3 linked regions of the Xenopus tropicalis genome follow. The protein of the gene in region 1 purifies or fractionates together with the protein of each later gene. This does not show direct contact. Links are inferred from orthologs where the notes say so. Each region holds a gene or a part of one and is shown in the gene's direction. Other genes may lie near its edges. The genes, in order: ddb2, cops5 and cct7.

Region 1 (2,893 bases):
CTCAGTGACTGCTAATATCCTTATCATTTACAGTAGGGGGTACATTATCCCTTATAATACATGAGTGATACTCAGAGTTCCCTGTATAACTCAGCCTGCAGCCTTGTGCCTTTATATGGGCACAGAACCCCCTCAATGACTTCTAATATCCTTGTCATTTACAGTAGGGGGTACATTTATCCTTCTTCATACATGATACAAAAAGTACCCTGAAGGAGTCTCTTTGCATGTTCCTGCAGTAAACAGACATTTTGTTCTAATAACCTGGTGTGGGTTTACGGGTGCCTGCCCTTTCTGTTTGCCAAGTTGCTCAGAATCAGGTAGTCCTTTACTTGCCTTTAATGTATTTTTTTTTTTTTTTAAATTTCAGGCCACGTGGCATCCTCGCTATGATTTAATAGTTGTTGGCCGATACCCAGACCCGCTCTTTCCAGGCTATATGTCAGATGAGCTTCGGACGGTAGATGTGTTTGATGGACAGAAAGGGAATATTGTATGCCAGCTGTATGACCCTTATGCTTCTGGTATTGTTTCGGTAAGGGTCCCACTTCTTCCATATTGGGCTCTTCATGGAAAGTGTCCACTTCTTTACCTTTAGAGGTCTCTTAGAAAGCCCTGATTGATAGGGGAACCTGGCAGTGTGGGAAGTACATCAGAAGAACATTGCCTACATTCGGTCTGTGTGAATGTTCATGTGACACACGCATTTCCCCCCAGGCCACCATGCTCCGCTTATTTAACTGGAAGGTTCTAGGTTAGACCTCTTTGAGTTTCGTAATCTCTGCACCAGGTGATCTCAGCCTTCCTACATTGCCATAGGTTCCATTCTTTCCTAAGTCTGGCCCTGCCTCTAGGGGTAAACATTCCTGCTCAAACCCCTCTAATAACCCCATTGCACCCATGCAGCTTTGGCCTCAAGTGAGTTGTTAACCTGGTTTCTATTTATCTTTCTAGCTCAACAAATTTAATCCAATGGGAGATCTTCTGGCTTCTGGCATGGGTGAGTGCACTATTGTACTTGTGGCCTCCATTAAAATAAAATAGGAAGTAGCTATATTGCTTATTGTAAGGGTATTATAACACAACAGGGGGCTGTGGGAGGGGGATACATTATTCCTTTAGAATACATGAGTGATACTCAGAGTTCCCTGTATAACTCAGCCTGCAGCCCTGTGCCTTTATATGGTCACAGAACCCCTCAGTGACTGCTAATATCCTTATCATTTACAGTAGGGGGTACATTATCCCTTATAATACATGAGTGATACTCAGAGTTCCCTGTATAACTCAGCCTGCAGCCCTGTGACAGCCAGGCAGAAAGCGGTTAAAGAAGAAATCTTCCTCTTCCCCCTATGATTTATTTTAGGTTTTAATATCTTGATTTGGAGCCGGGAGATTCTGTTGATGATGAAGCAGGAGGAGATGATGAAGGCTTTGAGGGAGAAGGGGGTTTCAGTGGGAAGGAAGGAACTTCCGAATTCCAGATTGCCACATTCCAGCGCTCCCAGAGAGAAGCCTGGGAATAAAGGCAGCACCACGGAGAGCAGCAAGACCCGGACTGTGAGGGAATCTTCTAAACGTGGGAAGCACAAAGACCCGGGCAAATGAACATAGGCTTCAGCGCCCAACTGGTCAACATTTCAAACATGGAGTATGGCAGCCAGCGCGATACCACATCCTTGGGATTGTTAGGTTGCTGGAGCCGAACCCATAGTGCCTTATTGCACTGCTTTATGTGTTTCAATACAAGGTTGCGCTGTATTTTCACATCCAGAACTTTTTCATGACTAAAATGATTTTTAGCGAGGGTCCCAGTATTACACCCTGCATCTCCGCTCTGACGAGTCCAGTCCAGTCAGTGAATTGGCTTAATCATCTGCCCCCTGCTGGCTTCTGGTATACATTACTATTTGCTTTCAGGGCATGGTATGTGTTGTCTTTCTATTTTTTTTTTTTTATATTATATATATACAAACAAAATAAATGTGGATCCATGTTAAAATGGATTCTCAAACAGAAGCGCCTGGGTGCTGACAGACTGATCATCCCTTGGAATCTTGGATTGCCCATGAGTCCAGGCCTTCGGATGAAGACCGCTGCACCAGTGGTTATTGAACAGTAGAGAACAGGATCATGGGATGGGCAACACAGATGTAACACATCCCCTTTATTCTTGCGTTCAGGTAAGAAGCCGGGGGACACCGTGGAACAAGTGAGACTGACTACCGGTGGGAACTATTGGCATGGCGGGGGCGGGGGGGGCTGATTCTGTTTGGGACATTACCATAGGAATCCTTTAGTTCTGAGGCCAAAAAGTCTTGAAGAATATGGAAAATAAATGTGACTTCCATCCTGAACCCTGTCTTCTTATGGTACTTGTTGGATCTCTTCAGGTCCGGAATAAAAAACAACCACCCACCTTTCTTCATAGTAATTGGACGTAATTGGCCAGATGTCTCACCTAGGATGACCATGGTCATTGTAGCTTAAACCTGCTCTGTCCATATCTATGCCGGTCCCATTACATTGTAGCCAATGAGGCTGGGAGGCAGTCTAGGAAGGTTGGTTGCTTTGAACTATTGCCACCTGGTTTATAATTCCTGCTTTATTCCGTGCCGTTCCAAACCCATTGTCTATGGGCAAGCAAAACATTAAAGGTTTTTCTTCGACTTATCATTGGAGGGGACATCCCACCTCTCCTTACACCACAATGGTGGTTAAAAATGCAATTATGGTATGAATGGTGGGGTACCTGCTCTGAAGGAGTCCCTTTCAATGAGTCAGTGGTACTACACTTTAAAAAGTGTCATCTGTGTCACCCCTAGCAAGTGCCAAGCACCCACCCAATTGCATTTTGCAAGATGCTGCCACCAGTCTGTGGGGAAATTCATTG
Region 2 (3,657 bases), on another chromosome or scaffold:
CATTCAACAGTAGCCCTCTAGTAGGGAATATCTGTGCCTTTAAAGATGCCCCGCATTCAAACAATTTCTACCCAGGTGCACGGAAAAAAACATAGAATATATTATATATATATATTCTATATATGTATTTTTCAATATATAATTGATTGTTTGCAATAGATCCGGTGTTGCTGGTCTTTTTTTCAATATCTAAACTCTTTTACCGTGCACCTGGGACAAGGATTGAAGCGGTGTGCCACCCTTGGTTCGATATATATATATAATATAATGATAATATAATTATAATGAGCATACCACTGGCCATAAACTCCCAATGGGAGTTTATGGCCAGTGGTATGCTCATTATAATTCTCCTTATGGTGTTTGATATTGTTTTCTCCTTGGTACAGGGTTTCTTTTCTTTTAATTTTGACACATGACTGGAATGACTTGTGCCATTGGGTGTGGGTTTGTGCTTTTATCTATTTATAGCTTTGATGGTTGTTACATGTTTAAGGTCTTGACAAAGGCCCAAGATGGGGGCCGAAACGTTGACCTATTTCTCCATGTATTAAGTTTTATATAGTTTAATAAAAGCTAACTTTTAAAGGATTCCCAGTGTGCACCGCTATACCTGTGGACTCTATTGAAATTGCTTGAATCGGTAGCACCTGGGTCAATTAGCCACTTGCTAAGGAGTGCTGAACCCTCTTGGTTTGTGTGTATATATATATATATATATAATATATATATATATATATATATATATATAGTGTATTATAAATTGTGTTAAAGGAACAGTAATACCAACAAATTACATTTTTTTAACTAATTAAAATATAATGTACGGCTGCCTTCATTTGTAAAAACTGTGTATTTGCTTGCTGTGTGATCATGGGGGCAGCCATTCAAGCTGTAAAAGTAAAAAATTGCAGGCTATATAGCAGATAAACTCTGTAGAATGCAATCGGTTTAGCTCTTACTCAAAAAGATAAACGGACAAATGCCTTCACAACTTGTAAATATTTAAGTCCTATATCAACAAATACTTTACAAACTTTAAAAGTAAAAAAAAATAAAAAGATGTTTTAATTTTTTGGTGTTACCTGAAATAAAATGACAGAATTTGGCAGCCAATCCTTGTTTTTTTTCTTCACAGGTTGGAAGACTTGAAAATGCAATAGGCTGGTACCACAGTCACCCTGGCTATGGCTGTTGGCTTTCTGGCATAGATGTCAGCACCCAGATGCTTAATCAGCAGTTTCAAGAACCCTTTGTTGCAGTAGTGGTGAGTACAGTATTACTATAACGTCATTGCAGATTATTGATACAACAAGTTTTTTTATTCCAATTTTCATTTCTTCAGATTGATCCAACAAGAACAATATCTGCTGGCAAAGTTAATCTTGGTGCATTCAGAACATATCCAAAGGTGAATGTTAATGATATTTAAGTTTCATATTACTTTTAATTGTAATTTAATCATTACTTGGCATATAACAAGGGTAAGATTATTATGGCTTACATCTACTTGCTTTTAGCCAAATATGAGACAGATCACACAAACAATGAAAATATGCACTGTTCCACTCCAGGCTAACCTCACTGCTGGATATATAGTCCATGTAGCAAACACTCAATTCAGTACATTCATAGGGTCCTTCACCTTGTTTTACATGTCTTTCTAAAACTTTATGGCAAATGAACATACTCCCTTCCCTGGTTTAATGACACCAGTACATTTTGGCATAAAAGATACAAAATCAATACTTGTCACTATATGAAAGTAGCTACAAAATCATGACACTTCCTTTTTTGGTTGTGCCATATATTTGTCCTGGTGAGCTACAACTCACTCAAACACATATTTACTTAACATTTAGCTGATGTGAAAAATAAACAGGAAAAAGTAAAGTAAATCAACTCCTTGTTTTGCAATTCTGATGGATGACCTTCTTGTTGTAGGGCTATAAACCTCCAGATGAGGGTCCGTCAGAGTACCAGACGATTCCTTTGAACAAAATAGAAGATTTTGGGGTGCATTGTAAGCAGTAAGTAATTTTGTAGTGGAAACATAAGAAACTAATATATTAAAAAGGAATTACAAGGCTAAGAAAAAGACTCTTAAAAAAGAGTCCTAAGCTTCATAGTATGGCTTATAGGCAGGGCACAGAGCAATTTTATGGTATATCCAGTTCAATTACAGGCTGTGAATCTTTGCATGAGTATATATATTAATGTATGCTTTACAGTATCTTAGATTTTATTTCACTCTCCTTATAGCTGCCAAACATGCATTAGTATCTTAGATGTATGTAACATTATTGGTATTGCACCTAAAAACTGTGTTAATTTTTAATTCCTCTCCTGTGACCCTAGATTTAAATGTCTTTAGTTAAGCTCGTCATTTTTTTATTGGAAGGTAGCTATGATCTAACATTTGTCTTGTGTTGGGTACCTTCCTAAATGTTACTCCACCTGGGGCAGTTTAAAAACATTCCATCCATTGGCCTCTGCTTGCTTCTCCCTTTGTACTCATATGCACTGTGTTAGCTGGGTACAGATGCACAGAGTGGATTTTAAAATGCATACTCGCATTTTTGCACTGAAATCTGCTCTGTGTGTCTGCACCTAGGCTACAAAAGTGCCTGTCAATGCAGACAGAGGGGTGAGCAGAGACCAGCAGAGCATCTGTTTGTAGGCCTGTGTTTATACGCAGGCCAGGAAACAGCTCCGTGTTGCACTAGCCATATTATAGATTGTCATACAATTTTCCTAAACCACAAGGAATACTGTCATAGGAAAACATGGTTTTTTTTTTCAAAATGCATCAGTTAATAGAGCTTCTTCAGGAGAATCCTGAATTGATATCCGTTTTCAAATGCACAAACAGATTTTTATTTATATTTAATTTTGAAATTTCACTTGGGACTAGCCATATTCTTCATTTCCCAGCCAGACACAGCCATGTGACCTGTGCGCTGATAAACTTCAGTCACACTTTGCTGCTGCGCTGCAAGTTGGAGTGATATCACCCTCCCCAGCAGCCAGTCAGCAGAACAATGGGAAGGGAGCAAGATAGCAGCTCTCAGTAGGTATCAGAATAGCACTCAATAGTAATAAATCCAGCTTGGATTGGGATGGGAGTAGGAGAAACAATAGGTTACCTGAAAGCAGTTCTAATGTGTAGTGCTGGCTCCTTTTGAAAGCTCAGACTCGGGCACAATGCACTGAGATGGTGCCTACACACCAATATTACAACTAAGAAAATAAAATAAATTTGTTGGTTCAAGAATAGAATTTTAAATGGTTGAGTGAATTATTTGTAAACAGTGTAATTTAGAAATAAAAAGTATACCATAAAAATCATGAAAGTATACCTTTAAGAATATGATTTCTGTTTGCTTGGACATACCAATCTTTTGAAAAAGATTCTTAAACAACTTCTAGGTCCTTGCTTGAACTATAAGTAAACTCCAGGTTCATATCTGGTTTATATAATTAAGTTTATAAACAGCTCATTGCTTACTGTATATCCTTCCAAACTCTAATCACGTCATCTGTGTAGCGCCATCTTAGGGAGACACTCCCTAAGCTCCCATGGGTATTCCGTTCCCAGTAACCCAAGAAAGGGTTTATGTAGCTGAGAGTAAATTGTTTCCCCCTGGCCTAAAAATA
Region 3 (3,657 bases), on another chromosome or scaffold:
GGGGGGGGTTCCCCAGGAGCCACGTTTCTGCCCTGGGCACTATATGGTAACTCACCTTGTGTATTAGGTACCGTACATGCGTGCCACCCTTCTGATTGGCCAGCGTGCAGATCCCTGTGCCATTGCTATACACCTACCTGCCATACATGCACTTTATTCTGGGGGCAGTTAGTGTGCGAGCCCTGCCTTAGAGGAATAGGGCCATCTATTGGCCATAGGGAATATCTGCATCGAAAGCCATAGGGAAATGATTGGTCTGACAAGCCTTTATCTGTCAGGGGTGCTGGGAGTTACTCAGGCTGCTGGGAGCTATTCAGGGTGCTGTAAGTGGGTGTTTAGTAATTCCCTTTATTTATTTATTTTTTCTTCAGGCAAAGCCACAATTTCAAACGATGGTGCCACAATCCTGAAGCTCCTTGATGTGGTTCATCCGGCAGCAAAGACGCTTGTGGACATTGCCAAGTCACAGGATGCAGAGGTGAATGTGCTAAACACTCAGGGCCCAGAATCTTTATTGTCAGGGTAATGTAGCAAATGGGTAGGTGGGATAGTGCGGCGGGGGGGGGGAGCCTTCCTATCAGTACAGGGATAGTGCGGCAAGTGAGAGAGCCTTCCTATCAGTACAGGGATAGTGCGGCAAGTGAGGGAACCTTCCTATCAGTACAGGGATAGTGCGGCAAGTGAGAGAGCCTTCCTATCAGTACAGGGATAGTGCGGCAAGTGAGGGAACCTTCCTATCAGTACAGGGATAGTGCGGCAAGTGAGGGAGCCTTCCTATCAGTACAGGGATAGTGCGGCAAGTGAGGGAGCCTTCCTATCAGTACAGGGATAGTGCGGCAAGTGAGGGAACCTTCCTATCAGTACAGGGATAGTGCGGCAAGTGAGGGAGCCTTCCTATCAGTAGAGGGATAGTGCGGCAAGTGAGGGAGCCTTCCTATCAGTACAGGGATAGTGCGGCAAGTGAGGGAACCTTCCTATCAGTACAGGGATAGTGCGGCAAGTGAGGGAGCCTTCCTATCAGTACAGGGATAGTGCGGCAAGTGAGGGAACCTTCCTATCAGTACAGGGATAGTGCGGCAAGTGAGGGAGCCTTCCTATCAGTACAGGGATAGTGCGGCAAGTGAGGGAACCTTCCTATCAGTACAGGGATAGTGCGGCAAGTGAGGGAACCTTCCTATCAGTACAGGGATAGTGCGGCAAGTGAGGGAGCCTTCCTATCAGTACAGGGATAGTGCGGCAAGTGAGGGAACCTTCCTATCAGTACAGGGATAGTGCGGCAAGTGAGGGAACCTTCCTATCAGTACAGGGATAGTGCGGCAAGTGAGAGAGCCTTCCTATCAGTACAGGGATAGTGCGGCAAGTGAGAGAGCCTTCCTATCAGTACAGGGATAGTGCGGCAAGTGAGGGAACCTTCCTATCAGCACAGGGATAGTGCGGCAAGTGAGGGAGCCTTCCTATCAGTACAGGGATAGTGCGGCAAGTGAGGGAGCCTTCCTATCAGTACAGGGATAGTGCGGCAAGTGAGGGAGCCTTCCTATCAGTACAGGGATAGTGCGGCAAGTGAGGGAACCTTCCTATCAGTACAGGGATAGTGCGGCAAGTGAGGGAGCCTTCCTATCAGTACAGGGATAGTGCGGCAAGTGAGGGAGCCTTCCTATCAGTACAGGGATAGTGCGGCAAGTGAGGGAACCTTCCTATCAGTACAGGGATAGTGCGGCAAGTGAGGGAACCTTCCTATCAGTACAGGGATAGTGCGGCAAGTGAGGGAACCTTCCTATCAGTACAGGGATAGTGCGGCAAGTGAGGGAACCTTCCTATCAGTACAGGGATAGTGCGGCAAGTGAGAGAGCCTTCCTATCAGTACAGGGATAGTGCGGCAAGTGAGGGAACCTTCCTATCAGTACAGGGATAGTGCGGCAAGTGAGGGAGCCTTCCTATCAGTAGAGGGATAGTGCGGCAAGTGAGGGAGCCTTCCTATCAGTACAGGGATAGTGCGGCAAGTGAGGGAACCTTCCTATCAGTACAGGGATAGTGCGGCAAGTGAGGGAACCTTCCTATCAGTACAGGGATAGTGCGGCAAGTGAGGGAACCTTCCTATCAGTACAGGGATAGTGCGGCAAGTGAGAGAGCCTTCCTATCAGTACAGGGATAGTGCGGCAAGTGAGGGAACCTTCCTATCAGTACAGGGATAGTGCGGCAAGTGAGGGAGCCTTCCTATCAGTAGAGGGATAGTGCGGCAAGTGAGGGAGCCTTCCTATCAGTACAGGGATAGTGCGGCAAGTGAGGGAACCTTCCTATCAGTACAGGGATAGTGCGGCAAGTGAGGGAACCTTCCTATCAGTACAGGGATAGTGCGGCAAGTGAGGGAGCCTTCCTATCAGTACAGGGATAGTGCGGCAAGTAGGCAGGTGTGGGTGGCGGAACCTTGTTTTCAATACAGGGACAGTGCTGCAAATGAGCCCGTGTGGGACCTGCTTTCATTACAGGGATAGTGCTCTGGTTTTGGTGTGGTACTGGGGTACAGGGATAGTGCTCTGGTTTTGGTGCGGTACTGGGGTACAGGGATAGTGCTCTGGTTTTGGTGCGGTACTGGGGTACAGGGATAGTGCTCTGGTTTTGGTGCGGTACTGGGGTACAGGGATAGTGCTCTGGTTTTGGTGCGGTACTGGGGTACAGGGATAGTGCTCTGGTTTTGGTGCGGTACTGGGGTACAGGGATAGTGCTCTGGTTTTGGTGCGGTACTGAGGTACAGGGATAGTGCTCTGGTTTTGGTGCGGTACTGGGGTACAGGGATAGTGCTCTGGTTTTGGTGCGGTACTGGGGTACAGGGATAGTGCTCTTGTTTTGGTGCGGTACTGGGGTACAGGGATAGTGCTCTGGTTTTGGTGCGGTACTGGGGTACAGGGATAGTGCAGCAAATGTTCCGGCAGGGAGAGCTCTGGATTCCTGCTGTTACCGAGCCTGTTCATGACTGTATTTTGCTGAGCTACGGTTGTGCCATTGCGCTGCTGATTCTGCAGAGGAACAGCCTGTATATAACTACATATTGTTTCAGGTTGGCGATGGCACCACCTCTGTTACCCTGCTGGCCGCTGAGTTTATGAAACAGGTGAAGCCCTATGTGGAGGAGGGACTCCACCCTCAGATCATCATCCGCGCTTACCGCACCGCCACACAGCTTGTGAGTATCCAATGGTATTTCTCTAGGGATTAGTGTTTTGTGCGCCAGTCGGTGGCACCTACCAGTGAGAATTAAATAGTATTTGTAAGTTATATAACTTATTTGTAAGTTATATAACTTAGTTATAAATCGGTGATTTTACTATGTCTTTTGGGCCTTATTTGAAGTCAGATGTTGTGTTTCTTTTTTTTTTTTACTCTAACCCAACAAGTGCAAATAGACCTTATTGGCCATCATATTTATAGTATTTATTCCCTTTGCCATGTGGGTCACTGCTTGGAATAATTAATCGTGTTTTCTCTTGCCTCCAGGCTGTCGGTAAGATAAGGGAAATTGCAGTCACTGTGAAGAAAGAAGATAAAGAGTAAGTATATGATATAGTTCCCACTAGACTATGCTCTTTATCAGAGTTCTGTACCTGGGAAGGTGCTGGGGGAGGTTGGATTCACTTACCCAGGGTGGGTTCTTGCCTTGTC

What was found.
Region 2: the proteins of ddb2 (region 1) and cops5 purify together in Homo sapiens (affinity purification with mass spectrometry; 10 studies listed by BioGRID and IntAct, counting the BioPlex papers as one, with this or other methods). This does not show direct contact. The link is inferred for Xenopus tropicalis from reciprocal best matches to the Homo sapiens genes DDB2 and COPS5.
Region 3: the proteins of ddb2 (region 1) and cct7 purify together in Homo sapiens (co-immunoprecipitation; 3 studies listed by BioGRID and IntAct, counting the BioPlex papers as one, with this or other methods). This does not show direct contact. The link is inferred for Xenopus tropicalis from reciprocal best matches to the Homo sapiens genes DDB2 and CCT7.

The regions. Positions count from the first base shown.
Region 1 is NC_030680.2:15,450,468-15,453,360, forward strand, and holds the end of ddb2 (DNA damage-binding protein 2), read left to right. Parts: intron 1-370; coding exon 371-535; intron 536-954; coding exon 955-1,000; intron 1,001-1,366; coding exon 1,367-1,608; 3' UTR 1,609-2,357; downstream 2,358-2,893.
Region 2 is NC_030682.2:119,213,108-119,216,764, reverse strand, and holds part of cops5 (COP9 signalosome complex subunit 5), read left to right. Parts: intron 1-1,138; coding exon 1,139-1,267; intron 1,268-1,345; coding exon 1,346-1,411; intron 1,412-1,944; coding exon 1,945-2,030; intron 2,031-3,657. UniProt on the Homo sapiens protein: Probable protease subunit of the COP9 signalosome complex (CSN), a complex involved in various cellular and developmental processes.
Region 3 is NC_030677.2:16,896,453-16,900,109, reverse strand, and holds part of cct7 (T-complex protein 1 subunit eta), read left to right. Parts: intron 1-371; coding exon 372-478; intron 479-3,055; coding exon 3,056-3,181; intron 3,182-3,492; coding exon 3,493-3,545; intron 3,546-3,657. UniProt on the Homo sapiens protein: Component of the chaperonin-containing T-complex (TRiC), a molecular chaperone complex that assists the folding of actin, tubulin and other proteins upon ATP hydrolysis.